2 linked regions of the Neodiprion lecontei genome follow. The protein of the gene in region 1 interacts with the protein of each later gene in a pairwise test. Links are inferred from orthologs where the notes say so. Each region holds a gene or a part of one and is shown on either strand. Other genes may lie near its edges.

The links.
Region 2: the proteins of protocadherin-like wing polarity protein stan (region 1) and frizzled-2 interact in binary tests that used the Drosophila melanogaster proteins (3 or more experiments, as listed by UniProt). The link is inferred for Neodiprion lecontei from reciprocal best matches to the Drosophila melanogaster genes stan and fz.

Annotation. Positions count from the first base shown.
Region 1 is NC_060263.1:37,739,531-37,747,502, reverse strand, and holds the start of protocadherin-like wing polarity protein stan, read right to left. Parts: upstream 4,277-7,972; 5' UTR 3,883-4,276; intron 549-3,882; 5' UTR 434-548; coding exon 1-433. Other genes in the region: cystinosin homolog, read right to left, coding at 7,593-7,698. UniProt on the Drosophila melanogaster protein: Involved in the fz signaling pathway that controls wing tissue polarity. Also mediates homophilic cell adhesion. May play a role in initiating prehair morphogenesis. May play a critical role in tissue polarity and in formation of normal dendrite fields.
Region 2 is NC_060261.1:11,923,024-11,931,308, reverse strand, and holds the start of frizzled-2, read left to right. Parts: upstream 1-3,192; 5' UTR 3,193-3,419; coding exon 3,420-4,593; intron 4,594-6,053; coding exon 6,054-6,574; 3' UTR 6,575-8,285. Other genes in the region: uncharacterized protein LOC107217846, read right to left, coding at 179-679, 850-931. UniProt on the Drosophila melanogaster protein: Receptor for Wnt proteins.

The sequences.
Region 1 (7,972 bases):
TCGGCATCGCGTAGGAAGCAAGAGTCTCCGGCATCCAACCTTTGGTCGCAGCTAAGTCTTGATTCTCCCCGCCGCATCCCGTGATTAATACTCTTAAGGGTAGACTATAATAATCTATGGTCGGTCGGCCCAGTCTTGAACTCGTTGAGTCTATGTAAAAGGTGAAGAGTCGCGGGTATTGGAGGCCCTCACAGCTCAGAGTCTTCGCCAGCGTTACTCGACCCGTGTGCGGATGCACCTTCAGCAGCTTCCTCGCGAACCATGCTGTCCTGTCCACCGATGCTTCGTACTTACGCTTACCTCCGAGCTGAGGCACTCCGGCCTCGAATACTACGGTTCCAGGTTCTAAACTCGACGACAATACCGCCAAGTAGCCTTCCGCGAGTGGCCATAGACCAAGAAGGCACAGAAGTATCCATATTGCTCTTGCCATGTCACGTCGCGGTCCCGATACTCTGCATCATATATTTGAACATCTTATTCCTCTAGTCTCCATTTTCACTCCGAGCAATGATCCGCATTGTAATTATCGCGTGCCGATTCGATATCTGAAACAAAAAGGATGATCCAACGTCATTCGAGTTATCCTCAAGTCTCAGGATCCCTCGTTAACGTTATAGTGTAATGACTAAGGTACAACAGAGTGGTTAGCATTCTACTGTGGTCTTGTTTGTTTCGCCTTTGTTTCAACTCGGATGAACTTATCTCTGTTCCAATTCATTAGTTCTACATTACACGGACGGTGTAAAATGGACATGGAGAGACATGTTCATTTAGAGATTGGTTCGACTTTCGCATTCAGTCTTCCGAAAGAGTTGGTAGGTGAAAACCGTTGAGTCGTTACAAATGGAATAAAGTTGGTTAAGTATTGTGGGCAACGAGGTATAACATATGGATACCGCACGCGTGATGCGAGTAATAAAATTATCGTGCCTGTGTGTCGAACGTACACCTCTACCGGCGAATCTCGCGTGTTTAGGGAAATTTACGACTGCAAGACGACGGAATAACGCGCGCAGCGGGGAAAGAAACGACTTTGAAAGTTTTCGGTTTACATGCGAGGTTCGGGTGTAGCATGGGTGTTGGGCAGCACCTGCACACGTATAAAAACTACGAGGATGAGAAGAGACGCGTGGGTATTATTTCGACGGGTCGAGTGACTCCGGTCCGAAACACGAAACGAACGAAGGGAGAGGAGGAGGACTTTGGAACTATTAATTACGAAGGAGGCGGCTGACTTGTATGGAATCCGGTCCGTCCAATTATCTTAGGGCCGCTTGGCTGTAACTTTTTCGGGATTTAGGGTTTCGGTGGGTTTTCTCGCCCCGCCGAATCGACGAGTTTATTAAAACCTTCGCCTCCTCTTCCATATCCTGCACCAATGGACGACGCGCTCGCGTGCACCGAGTGCACGATTCGCTGAACATTTCAGATTTTCTTTTTCTCTGTCTCAACGTATAATCATAGGGGAAAAACTCGTTTATGCATTATACAAACACCCTGCAACGCGTCGCCGTGCAGGCTAGACGAATAGCAGGTGGAAACTCGGACTCTACCTGCATCTCAAATACGTGAGTATATTTACGTAGGCGCATATTACTATACGAACTTGGAAGCCTGTTACGCACATAAAGGCTTTTCTTTTTTTTTTTTTAATTAACACTTCTTTGATTTCGTAATTTCGCATCTGTGTTGTACAAATTCTAATACGTAACATTGATTAGCTATGGATTCCGAAAAGCGTGCGATTTTACCGCTGAAAAAATGAAGTCGAAAAAACTTAATCGATATTCTAGCAATCCTGCTACTGAATTCTTCTCGTGACTGACGTGAAAGCCAGACGGTATTTTAGCGATTTTTAAAGAGCAGAGTGTCGGGAAACAAAGATATGAAATATGTTTAGTAGCAAATGGTATTCGGGTGTCGGCGCGGTTATACTTTCATTTAATTATATCTATATCCTCCAACGTTAAACTCAACGAGTTGTTCTGCCGGTGGTGGTATAAACAGCGAGCAGCAAGCGAGCGGGAGCTGTGAATAAACATGGATAAAAATCGTTTCTAGATTAAGTTTCGAGGGAACAACTTTATAGGAGAACGCTAATCGTCGGTTGGAGGAATAACGTTCAGAGGAACAGGTTTCAGGCGTATAAATTCCCCCGTGAAACGGCGTGGCCGCAGTTTTAAACCCTTCATCGGTATTAGCATATCAGTTTATTTTTTATTTATTTTATTTTTTTATCGCATACTCATGCTGAGCTTGAACGTACGTTTAAATACAGACATGAAAAAGGTAAGATTCTCGAAAGATATCTTAATCGCGTTTTGCTCTCGCTATCATTGCTACATTTCTGTAATTTCTCTCAAATATTCAACTCCTTGCTACCATAGTTTCGTTATATTACTCGCTTTCAACACACATCGCCGGGAATATTTAAATCGCGCACGCATATACGTGATACGCATTCAAACAATGAAATGTGAATACCCGTCGTTTGCTGTACCTTGTATGTCATGTGAATTCTATGTATATGTACATCTACGCTCGTTTCACCCAAGCGCACGCGGGTTAGATATCGGACATGGCTCTGGCTACACGCTACAAAAGAGTACCACCACTTCAGCGAGGGTGAGTGACTCATGTATTGCTCCGACGTCGGGACGCCGAGCGTCGAAATATCGATCTTCCTCCCTCGAGCGAGCCAATGAACGAGGGATGCGTCAACGGCACTCGCCTCGCATCGCAAATCCCAACTTTTATCGCACAAAAAAAAAAAGAAATACAAAGAGAGCGCGAGGAAGGGTGAGCGTTATTGTATTTTTTTTCATTTGCCTCGTATCGACAACTCGCAACGCGTGCCCAGAATTTGACGAACCGGATTTTTTCTCTTCGAATTTCGCGCTCGTTCCCCGTCGTTGCTCAACTGTTTTATTCCAAATTTCTACGAATACGAAGGCTACGCTCATCTGCCTCTGCGTGAAACGAATACCGGTTCCTGACGTTACAGTTGCCTGCACCCTAGGCGTTCTACTACAGCGATACGCGATACCTACTCGTCAAATAAACTATATCAAGGTGGAAGGAAACACCTCATTGAGCTATGCCTACGGTAGTGGCAAGCAAGGATCGGGATCACGGCACGGCTCGTCGCAACGGAATCACAACAGAGCGTAAGACATCATCTCTACGCGTACTATTTTCCACGCATCGATCACTCACTTTACCGCTCGGGTAAACGAATCGATGCAAATTTCGACTTCTCTGGGCTAGGCTAACGGTTGTTTACTTTTTCAATGCTATGCATTTACTCATTGAATACATAGAATACCCACGGCACGGTGCATTCCCGGCAAGCGCAATCAGTGTTTGAAATTCACATTGTCCTGCAGCGTGTGAAATATTGTACCGTTGATTATGCCTTTCTTTCCTACTTCGAAATCGCCATAGAGGAATTCAATATTTGACCATATACCTGTGCAGAAGTTTTGAACCTTTAAGAACGAAAATAAAATCTTTATAATCCATCGGTTAAAATGAGTCGCGTGATTCGAATGGAATGTATATAACGCATGCGGCGTCGATCGACTTAAAAACAAAAGACGCCCGTTTTTATACCGTGCTAGTAAATAGCGAACGTTAAGAAAGCAAGTAGGTGCATAGGGGCTTTGTGCATCCGGTTGCAGCAGGCGCGTTCGTATATTCTAGTTTCGCAGGATCATTATCCTCGAGGGGAACGAGCCCTGTACGCAATTAACGCGGCAGGTATTTTTTGTCGTGGGAAAACGGAGGCGGCGGGGTTCGAGTCCCGGACGGTGAGCGCGTACGCACGAATGGCACACACGCCACTGCACGCATAAGATGCCATTCAAAAAGGTCACTCACCGCCCCCTCAAGGCCGTCCAAGTCCTGGCTTGTGTCGGGTCAGCTCACATTATTCCTGGGGACGAGAATTCGCGCCGTTGATAATTTTCCACAACCGGGAAAAATCCGCGATTCGAGATTTCCGAACGAAAAGTGCACGCTGAGAGACCCTCTCTTCTCTCATACACCGAGCTCACTCCCCGCTCATCTAACGTCAGGTCGTGTTAAACCACTACACGCACTTCACGCACTACACAACCACTTGCCGCGACTCCAGCTCAACTCCCGGTCATTTCTTCTCTTCGTACACACGGTGCACACGCACTTCAAGACGGGGATATTCTACCTCCGTGCAGCACACCCGTCGAACGGTCATAAGATACCCTGGAGTACGGCCAGCCGATCCTGACGGAACGGCGTCGACGCACCTGGCGGCTCTGCGAACAACCAATGCGTGGATAGCTTTATTTTCGTTTGCAGATTCCTGCGTTATCGACGTACGCGGTCCAACGCCCAGCGGCTTGTTGCAGGCAACTTGTCGTTCGTCCCTGTATGCTTTGCCCCTTGTACGTGATTACAGATTGCTTAACAATACCGTCAGATCATTCTCATCAACGGCATCGTTAATCATTATTCTCGAAATGATGAATTTTAATGCTATGAAATGACAGTCAACAGGTATGGTTTGGATGGCCAAGATTATTAGGAATTGAGAGTTACATTTTGCACGACCGTAACGGTTTTGTTGTCAATTTGTGTGTGGTGTTGCGTATTTTTTAGATACGTTTTTCTCGTTAAGTAACCGAAAAAAAATACTGAAAACGTGAAATTTGACAATCAGCGGTAGCAGAACGTGAATCAACACATTTACAATTAGTGCGAGCAGCCGTTGACTAATCTATATAATTGCTTTTGATGATCGGCAATTTGAACGATTAGAATTGTTATGAAACATATAATTATGTAGAGGCGTTGACACACAAAAGATAACTTTAACCAATGGGATATCAATGTATGCATAATATTCATTTCCAGGGCCGGCGACTTAAGGAATCTCAGGATTTCGGAGTTCTTTCAGGTGATTTACGGGGTGAGGGGGATTCGACAAATATGGAGTTTTTGTTTTCATCACAAAATTTAAAATGAATAGATCTGTCTGAAATTCTTCACACAAGGATAGTACGTGTATTGAGAATAAGTTGCAACCTTTTCGCAGCGAAATCAATTTTCCGCGGAAGGTTCTTTGAACTTTCATATTTTCTCGGTACACATACTACCAAAAGCTGAAAAACTGCAGAAATATTGTTTAGTTGAATTCTTTCATTTATCTACAGAATAAAAGTTTGACTTACGTTAAAGTTTCACCGGCCTTTCGTTTTTTCTGTAAGAGCTAAATTAGCGTATTATCAGTCGGCATGGGGTTCTTCTACACTTCGTGTAAATCTAGCAGCAAAATTTTGAATTTTCAACAGGCTTTTCAGGGTATGAAATTTCCACTCCGTGAGTAATCAGGTTGTGGAGGTCTCTACACTTTCTAGACAAACGTCGCCAGCACTGTTCATTCCAATGTAAAATGCAAACACACACGAACATCGATCAGTTTGTATTATTTACACTGAAATGCGATAAGGCAAGTGCATGCATGTGTAATATAGTTATCATGCCTTGCTATATTCATACCCAGCAAGCATCAGAGACGGGTCAGTGTAATTAGCCGTAATGTCGTATAATTAGCTGTAATTATACAAGAAGACTGACAATTAGATTATTCAACCGGACATTTGAGAAATTTTCCACACAAAGCGCTGCTCACACGACGGAAAATATTGAAATATAATCGTTGTGGTGTAATCAAACTTATTTTAATCGCTCAAAACAATGAAGACGATGAATGTATTTGCTGTTATTACTTTTTGCGCTACTGCGCGGTAGGAAATCGGTAGGGAAGATAAAGTGCGTATTTCTTGTCTGAAATGTAAAAACTAAAATCATTATACATCATATCATTTCGTCATACATCATACATCGTACAGCATACATAGTATTAAAGTTCAAAACGAAAGTTCGGATGTTCAGAAAGTGACGTCACCCAAAATTTTTTTTCTCTTGATATCATCGATCTATACAGACGAAAATCAGCTAGTTGAATTCCTCAGTCCGGAAACAAACGCGCAGTAGAGCGGACGTATGAGAACCGCGCTCCGCAGACTTCGAGTACCGCATTCTCTACCTCCTGGATCCTGCTCTCCTGGTCCGCTTCCTTGTGCTACTCGAGTTCTAGGAAAAGCACTCCAGCTACGCTACCTGGTGAAACTCGACTTCCAGGACAAGCGCTCCTTAGTTTCTGCACTCAGGGTCCGCGACCTGGTGAAATTCGTCTTCCAGGACAAGCGCTCCAGGTCCACTACCTGGTGCAACTCGACTTTAGGGACAAGCACTCCGTAGTTTCTGTGCTCAGGGTCTGTTACCTTGTGAAACTTGAGTTCCAGGACAAGCGCTCCGTAGTTTCGGCGCTCCAGATCCGCTACATGGTGAAACTCGACTTCCAGGACGAGCGCTCTGTAGTTTCTGCGCTTAAGGTCCAGTATCTATAGGAACTCGACTTTCAGGACAAGCGCTCCGTGGTTCCTGCGCTCCAGGTCCTGTGCGTAGTCTTTCAAATCTCTCAGGACTAAGCTGATCGTTCTGTGGTATTTTTTGACGAAATTTATTGTCATAAAATCACAATACGTTATACCCACACGCATGTGCAAACGTGATTTGTAGCATTATATAGAAAAAATCTTACGGGCAGAATAATGAAGAATAAACAGTACATATAACTGTTTTGTACTAACGTAGGAAAATACAATATCCAAGTGATATCGAGGCTCATTTAGAATTTATTGAAGCAAAAGACCGTACTCTTAGCCAAGTGTAGCACACCTGTAGAAAAGTATCGATTGAAGTATAGAAAAGCGGAAGAAAGCTATGGGTATATTGAAAACAGCGCGAGAAAACTATAGAATTAAAAATTACAGGTTCAAAAAGTTTCACTAATTAACGAAAACTATGCGATATACAATAAGAACTACACTAATCGTTATGGTGCAGAACGCAGAGTATAAATCGAGGTGGATGAATTTTGGGAATTTGAATCTTCGCAACCAATTATTCAATTCTATTGAGGTTCGTTTTATTCATGAGTATGTAGATCGAGCTTCGTGTACATTTTTTTTTTTCTTGTTTATTGTTAATATCAAATAATAGGATAATCAATAGTATAATTGTTACTGACAATTTAATAACGGTAACCACTGAGATCAGTGACATAATTTGTGGTGTCGGCGGTGCATTTGTTCGACTTGATATTGCGGATTGTATTGACTTTTAGTTTTACTGTAAGCATCACCGTACGTCTGACCGATTAAAAAGCATGAAAGCAGCACGTATATACTGCTTATTAAACGAATATTTAAAAATATACGATTCTAGCTACTGTAATCTACTATCCGTGTTCTATATTTGAAATTGCAGTTAAAAAATATTCATAACAAACTTAACGAATATTTAGACAAACACATAACTTAATAATAAATCGAACAAATCTGTAATCAGAATCTAGATCTCGGAATTAAAAGTAGGAATGAATGACGAGTCGTACTTTTAAGGTAAACTTAATTAAATAAATATTTTGTCATTTATTAAAAATATGAACAATCTATAACTTTTCATTCAATTAAATAGGGCATTTATTTATCAACAGCTTGATAACCTAGGCTGGTATCCACTCGATGATTTTCTTGATTTTGATCTTCACAGCAGTCTTCTGGGAGCTCCAAGTAATCATTACGATCCCTGTAAAAAAAAAATAATAATAACAATGTAATCATAAATTGTACCCAAATATACGGAGATAAATTAATATATCTATCTATATACATATGCAATTATAAAATAAATTAATGTTTTATCATGAAGTTTGTTCTTTTATATTTTTAATATCATTTCAAACTTCAATGGGGCCCAAGGAACGAATAAAATAAAACAGAAAAATTGTATTATCGAATGAAATACTTTTCAAATCAATGATAAATAAAAACTAGAAATGATTAAATACTTCTAATGACAG
Region 2 (8,285 bases), on another chromosome or scaffold:
TAGAACCTGGTATCAATTCATTGCTAGTAGCATAAAATGATTTTGAAAAATTGAAGCTGGTTTTAATATGCTGCTATTAAATTGCTAGAATATTTTTTAGGAATATTTGGGAATTGGAAATATTCAGTGATCAAGTTTATAAATTAAAGTTTTAAACATTGGTGTCTTTATCACAAACCTTTGGTAGTACTACTTCTGTTCTGCAAGCAGAGTTTGCTCTTGGAATAGTGTGAGTTCTGCATATCATAGGCGATGTATTTATCATCCCTGGACCATATGCCGCCGGGCATATTGAGGTGCATAGATTTACCCTCGGAGGAAAATGGCTGCGGAACATTGCTCTGCATAGATCCATTGAGACTCACGGCGCCAGTACAATCATACGAATCAGTGTACGAGTGTTCGGGATTATCTTGGGTCGTGCAGTCCCCAAGACTAAGACCTTCTGATCTAGTATTGGAACAAGTTGCCGGCCCATTTGCCTGGCAGAATAATATAGGTCCCGTTATATCTCGTGCTCTCTCCGGAGTGAAACGACCCGTTTCGTTTCCAAATATCTGGGTCATGTTCTGGGGTAGCGGTATCGTGGGAGCAGATGGGTAGGACTTTACTGCAGAGGCATGCAGACTTTTCTTCTGGTTGTTTTCATTGCTATTTCTTAGATCTCCACTAAGTACAGCTGAAAATTGAGTTTTACTGTGATAATTATGTTCACTTAAATTTACAACTTTATAATTATATTAAGGATTCAGGTGTCAATCATTTGCAGATTTCTGCAATCCATGCATTGGGAAAATAAAAATACAATAACAATAAAAACAAAATTTGATACTGAAACGGAACAGAGACCTGTGTGTTTATGACGCGATAAAGCCGTTTGTAGGATATTTAAATATCCCCCTTTTGCACAGTTTCCTAATTTCAATGCCATACCGATGATCACTTTCACTCGTGGTACTTAAGTGTGTAGATAAATTGCCGAACGCTGTTCTTTACTTGTTTAATTGCATTCAAATGTGTATATTTAATTGTAATCGTTGATGAGTCCGAAAATTGAAAAACTTGAATGTGAAAGAACACGTTTTGAGAATTCTAAATGATTTGTTTTTTGTGAATACGTTTCGACGAACCTTGACAACCGTTCACGCCGATTGTCGGACTTCTAGTGTTCTGATATTATTATCATCATTGCGCCGATGATACATCAAAATATCATTGGTCGAAGTTATGCGGCTTATTTGATTCGTGTGCTTGTGCGCATGACGACTAGAATGAATTAAAAACTGTTAAAAATGTCTGTGGATAATTCACATAATAAGCAAAGACGTTACTGCGTGACTGAAAAATCTTCAGTCAACAGATGCTGTGGTGTCCGGTCGATAATAGTAGATACACTATTCTTAGGAGCTTTCCAGCAAGGAGACACAGTGTGACACTGTGTTTCACGGTCGAACACTGTGCCTTGGTGCTTGTTGGAACGCTCTGAGGTTCTTAATTCAGTCACTAGAGTCCGCTCATGCGTTATACGAAAAATCTAGGATCATTGAGCGCTCCAGGAAAAAAAAAACATTTGTGAAACGCGTGCAGATTATCATTGCATTTAATAAATAAATATAAACAATACCATGCGTCGAAAATAAAATCTCTAACTAAAAAATTGGCAGCAATGAATCCGACACAGTGTCCAACCATGCTCCGCAGCTGTGTCCGACTGTGTCGCTCTGTGTCGTTGCTGGAAAGCTCCCCTTTTTAACATATGCAGAGGGCAGAATATCATAACGGTCGTGGCAGATGAAGCCGTAAAAGCTGATATATAGGCAGTTGTGTTTCGCTGATTTCTTTGAAATCTATAAGGAAGGAAATAATATAAATAACGGAGCATTTAAAAAAAAAAGTCGAGACTTAATCGACCACAAGAAGCCGTATCAGCGATCGGTGGCTTCTTTATCGGCGGGAGCTATTAAATCTACAATCTCATAAAACACACAAAAACCCATTAGGTTAACCGTTTTTAACAATCTTCGAGCTCGAATACATCCATGATGCATCCCACTCACTAATATATCCTTTGCAAAGATTCTTGAAAAGCAGGTCTGCTTTATGGTGCTGCCCCACGTAGGGCCGAATCGCCGGAATCCGCAACGACGGAACGGAATGGACGGAAAAGTCACTAAAATCTGCGTTCCAGTAATTTTATCGCGTTTTATTTTTACGGAATGGTGGATTCGTCCAGTATCCGCATATTACAACATTCTGTTTCGAGCGCTGCAGGAGTAGTATATATACAAATACGAAAGAAGAGTTTGTACACAGTGCGATTATTAATCGTGAGTGCTTCCCATGTACCCAAATTCCGGAACAGAGTTCCGGAGGGTCAATTTTCATTTTATGAAATAATTAAATACATGTATGAACAAAAATGAATTTGACATAAGACCTAATTAAATAAATTGTATACAGTGATGCAAAATCTTTATCCAAACAGACAAATGAACCCGAATAGCACAAATATGAATCTACATCGTTCCATCGTTCCATGAAATTTTGGTATATATATGGGATGGCAGGATTTTTCAAAACCCGGAACGGACTCAGAAATCCACTAGATCTCGTCTGCGTTCTGTTCCGTTACTGCGGATTCCGGCGATCCGGCCTTACATCGGACAGCAATATTACCCACCATATTGGTCTCATTTCAGACCCTTTTTTTCAAAAATCTTCTAGTTTTACTGATAGAGTAGTCAAATTGTTTGAAAATTTTGGAAGTGATAGAAATCACAATTGTCCTTTCCAGCGATTATACAAGCACAACTGTAAATTCTGTCGTGTCCAAAAGTTTAAAGACGATTAACTTCTAGGGAATGTGGCAGCCGTTGTAGGGTTGATTGTAAACGTTAAGAGCACATACTACAAGAGGTAGTTTCGCGTGCAGCGGGGTGATACCATAGGGTGATACAAGTTTCCACTTCCACTTTCTTATTTGAGACCGGATGACATTCTATTACCACAGAATTAAATGCAAAGTGAAATAGACGGAGAAACCCGAGGATATCTTTCTCTCTCTCATCACATCGGCCGCATTTTTTGCAAGGTCGTTGGAATGGGTGCATACCACTGGGTGTATACTACCTCCAGTAGTATATGCTCTGTGGTAAACTGATTTTAGCAAAGCGCTAGTCGTTCCCTTCTCAGTGTATGCTCGTAGTTAAGGGTCTGTTTACAATCCTTGCATTGTTTATGGTGAACTCTTATGCATACGGGATTAAGTACATACAAAAGAAATGCAGCTAATAAAGTGAGCGATATTGATAGCTCGGAGTAAAGTGAAATATGTCCGCGTATGACGTACGGAAATATTAAGCACAGTCGTTGGTTTTCGCACTCCGAATTACTGATCGCCGTAGCAAAAGCGTCTAAATATGTTGTCGCTTCTATTTGCGTACCTGATCGTGGCGGACGTCGTCAACGTGAGTCTTGGGCTTCACGCGCGAGACCCCCTTGAACATCATGGGCGATGCGAGCCGATAACGATACCGATGTGCATGAACATTCCGTACAACGAAACGATCATGCCGAACCTGATGAGCCACCAGAAGCAGGAAGAAGCGGGTCTCGAGGTACACCAATTCCTCCCACTGGTCAAGGTAAAGTGCAGCCCAGACTTGCAATTCTTTCTGTGCTCAATGTACGTTCCGGTCTGCACGATATTGGAGAAGGCAATACGGCCCTGCCGGTCTCTTTGTGAGAGTGCAAAAGCTGGCTGTGAGTCACTCATGAATCGCTTCGGCTTCCTCTGGCCGGACAACTTGGAGTGCTCAAAGTTCCCTGTTTTCGGTCACGACGAAATCTGTGTTGGTGACAACAATACTGCATCCACCGAGCCTTCCAGACCAATCGAACCGCAGTCCCAAGGTCCCAGAGCAGAGTATCATCCTGGCTGGAATAACCGGCCATCCGATGGCAGTGACCTCTTCGGCGCTCGAGACTTTGGCTTTGTCTGCTCTATGCAGTTCCAGGTTCCTCACGACCTTGGCTACAGTCTTAAAGTAGGGGATGTCACAGAGCCGAACTGTGGCGCACCCTGCGACGACATGTTCTTTACTCCAAAAGAGCGCCGCTTCTCTAGAATCTGGGTTGGCACTTGGGCCTCCGTCTGCGCAGCCTCCTGCTTCTTCACCGCTCTGACCTTCCTCATTGACACGGACCGCTTTCGATATCCCGAAAGGCCAATCATCTTCCTCTCTGTTTGCTATCTGATGGTCGCCCTCGTCTATGTCGTCGGATGGGCTGCAGGCAACTCCATTTCCTGCCGCGAACCCTTTTCTCCGCCTCTGAATGTCAGGTTCGAGACGATATCCACCGTCACGCAGGGGACCAAGCACGAATTGTGCACCGTGCTTTTCATGGTCTTGTACTTCTTCAGCATGGCCTCCAGCATCTGGTGGGTCATTCTCACTCTTACTTGGTTCCTTGCTGCTGGACTCAAGTGGGGGCACGAAGCGATCGAGGCTCATTCGCAGTACTTTCATTTGGCTGCTTGGGCTGTTCCTGCCGTCAAAACTATCACCATTCTTGCCATGGGGAAAGTCGAGGGTAAGTATCAATAGGCCTTGGAATCTATGAAACTGTTATTAGCAGTCAAAGTTAGCAGCCAAGTATATTAAACTTGTTACAAATGGGGTAATTTAATAATGTTCACTTCTAAGATTTTCTGATATTAGTATCTTTACATGAGGAGTGACAAAATTTTGATCACCGAGTCTGACTGCTTTAATTTAATAAAAACGGCAAGTTTGCAGGCTGCGAACCCTGGCTGCTAGCGTCAGCTTCATTCAAAAATTTTATATTATTCCTTATTCTCCTAACGAAAAAAGAATTCTTAGAAATCACACGTTGACCAATCAAAACCATGTAAACTGGGAACTGTTGCAAGATTTTTGTATGTATAGAAAAGTAAAGCAAATGTCTGGAAATTTATTAGGAAATATATGCAGATCTTCTTAAAAATTTCGTAAATTATGGTGTTCTATGAGATCTTTCAATTGATAAATCACAATTTATAATTTAAATAAATTAGTTGTTCACAATTGTTCCTACTTGCTACGGTAAATTATAAGTTTTTTTCAAGTTGTTTGTTTCACTGCTGCATTCACTCGATTATCAGTATTTATCTATCTGATAATTATGTTATGAATAACAGGGTCAGTATGCGAAACGCGACATGTAAAGATGATAAGTTAGAGAAACAGAGAAAAAACTGAGAATTTTCAAATCTAAATTGAGTAGACATTCGGAAATTTTTTGTGTAACAAAAATTTGAAATGATTTGAATTTTCATATTTTTTTTTTCAATATTTTTAATCAAGTCGAGCTGGAGATGATAATTGGCCCAATTTAGAGAGAAAATTCATATTTGTTCAGAACATATTTTGCATCACTAGACTAAAGAAACCCCGACTTCTGGTATTTTGCTTATGTTCTTATAGTACTACGTAATAGAAGACGGGGGTGGATTGCTCAGATCTAATAAAAGGTTTTTTAAAACAGTTGTGATTAGTTTAAAATGCAGTTCAAGAAATATTTTTAAAAAAGCTAGAATTATGAAAAATTTTAACAAATTTTCAAGCAATATCAAAGTTTTTCCACAAATCAGCGAAAATTCATTTTCATTACACTCACTTTTTCAGCAACTCTTATATACCTCTTAATTAATTCTCCAACTATGTTTTATTGAATTCAGCCCAGCAATTTTTTTAAACTTCCGTAGCTTGAGACAATTATTACATTTTATCTAAATTCATTTGGCAGTTTCAATAAATTCTTTCTTTGTGCACTTATTTTTATATTTATAGTGGATTTTAGCATATCAGAACAAATGCAATCTTCTCACAAGATCCCGTGAAATGTGAGTGCAAATTATCCTAAAATCCAAACAGAGAAATTGAATTCACCGTATCTAAGCCCGTGTCAGTGAGGGGATACAAATTTGTATTTTGGCATTTTGTAATGCTAAAGTCGTGCCGCAATAATTAAATTTTTGTTTTATTTTTCAGGGGATATCTTGTCCGGAGTGTGTTACGTGGGGTTGTGGAACGTCAAGGCACTGAGAGGCTTTGTGTTGGCGCCGTTGTGCGTCTATCTGGTACTGGGAACGGCGTTTCTCCTTGCAGGATTTGTATCGCTGTTCCGCATTCGCACAGTAATGAAACACGACGGAACTAAGACAGACAAGCTTGAAAAACTAATGATTCGCATTGGTATATTTTCTGTGCTTTACACAGTGCCTGCGTTGATAGTTATTGCTTGTTTATTCTACGAGCAAGCCTATTTCGATCATTGGATGCTCAATTGGTGGTCGGAAAAATGCATCAAGTACTCAATTCCTTGTCCCGTTGGCGAACGAACACGCGACCTTGGTCGTCGTCCGGAATTTGAAGTCTTCATGATCAAGTATCTGATGGCAATGATTGTCGGGATAACCAGTAGCTTTTGGGTCTGGTCAAGCAAGACGCTGACTAGTTGGAGGCAATTTTTCAACCGCATTCAGGGACGGCGAACCGAAGCTTATGTTTGAAGATTCATTTCCTTCTATTAATGACTCTTGATAATAACTTCGCATCAAAATCAAACCAGTTTTATATTTTCTCATTTTCATTTACTTTCATTTTCACTGTCATTCAAACATTGCTGTTTGAACAAGATTTTTTTTATTCATTCCCAGTGGTTTCTATGCAACAATCATGTCAATTTTTATACATATATCGAGTATTTTTCATCGCAATTTTGTTTTTAATATCTATAACAAGCTGGTGCGGTTTACTTCTTTGATATAGTGTGTACAACGATAGTAAGTTGTACGCATTTCATGATAATGTTCGACAAGACAAAATGACGTTTGATTCGTTATTGTCTATAAGTGCAGTAGAACTTCGAAAAAAATCTGATTAAAAATCGCTCTCTCCCGTGCCACTTTTTTTTTACAAGGGTAGCTTTAATATGTGAAATAATTAGCAGCTATTACCTAACCAAGTCTGATTAATTTTTTTCTTGTTTTACCACTAGGTTTAACACAATGTTATTTTATCATTGCACGTTATTTAAACTCACCATCGTAATTCCGCGAAAGTTTTATCTTCAAGGATTTGCCCGTAAGGTTTTGTACTGGAGCATATTTTATAAGTGTTAGTGTTTTCATACTTGTAACTTGTATCCATCATTGTCAGACTTGAAGAGTTGATGGACTAAAACTCGCGAGAAGCTAGTTTGTGCACAGATCTGACTTTTCCTGACTGCTGACATAAAAACAGAAACATAGAAATTCCGTAGGATAAATTATATGAATAATATTTTCAAATACACGTTTTCACTCCTTGGAGATCTTGTCGAAAAGACATTTTCCGAAAACGTAAATCGTCTTTATAGACAAGTTGAAGGTGATAAAAATCACTTTAACAAACACATTTATTGTCTGTTTAGATGTAAACTCACTAGAATTAATTGTATATTTAGTATCGCGGCAACAGATTCCATTTTAACCATGACAATTAATTATTAAATGCCGGAATCTCAATATTTATTTATAGAATGATTTGCACAAGTCAAAATTATGACTTGCTACAGAATACCGTAATCTATTTCGAGAGTGACTTTTCACTCCTATTTCAATTATCTCGTTACATGCTGATATTTGGATCTTGGATGTAGCTCAAACCCAAATTCAAGAGCAAAGGAGGATCAAGCGAGCATGTAAATACCATGGATGCTTGATGAAGTTGAATAAAGATTAATTCGGGAAAAAACCAATTAATCGAAGTCTAGGATCAATCGATTAATCGCATAGCCCTAATACATGAAAAGATAAAGCTCTTGGTACCGAAAACTTGGTGATGTTTGAGCTGAGAGTTAGTCATTCGTTAATTATCGAAGGCTTAGTTATATTGGGATCCAAAATACCAAAAGATTCCATCTTCTGGCAGGAAACGTACCACAGAGGCTAACCCAGTTGTATTTAATGATAAAAGTAGTTTTTTAACACATATTTTACACTGCCATCCCAATGTGACAAAATAAAAGTGTAATCGCTTTTACGGGCTTTTCTATTTCTTAACGTCCATGTGATTCTGCTTAAACTGGGGCCGAAACGAACAGCTGATCGCTCACTGCGATGCCATGTTGCTTTTGTTCACACCCATAGTATGGATCCCAATTCTTCTGACCTTTTCAGATTCTAACGAATCTTTATAGATTTCTTAATACAATCTTTGGAGTATCGTTAATTTTTTCCT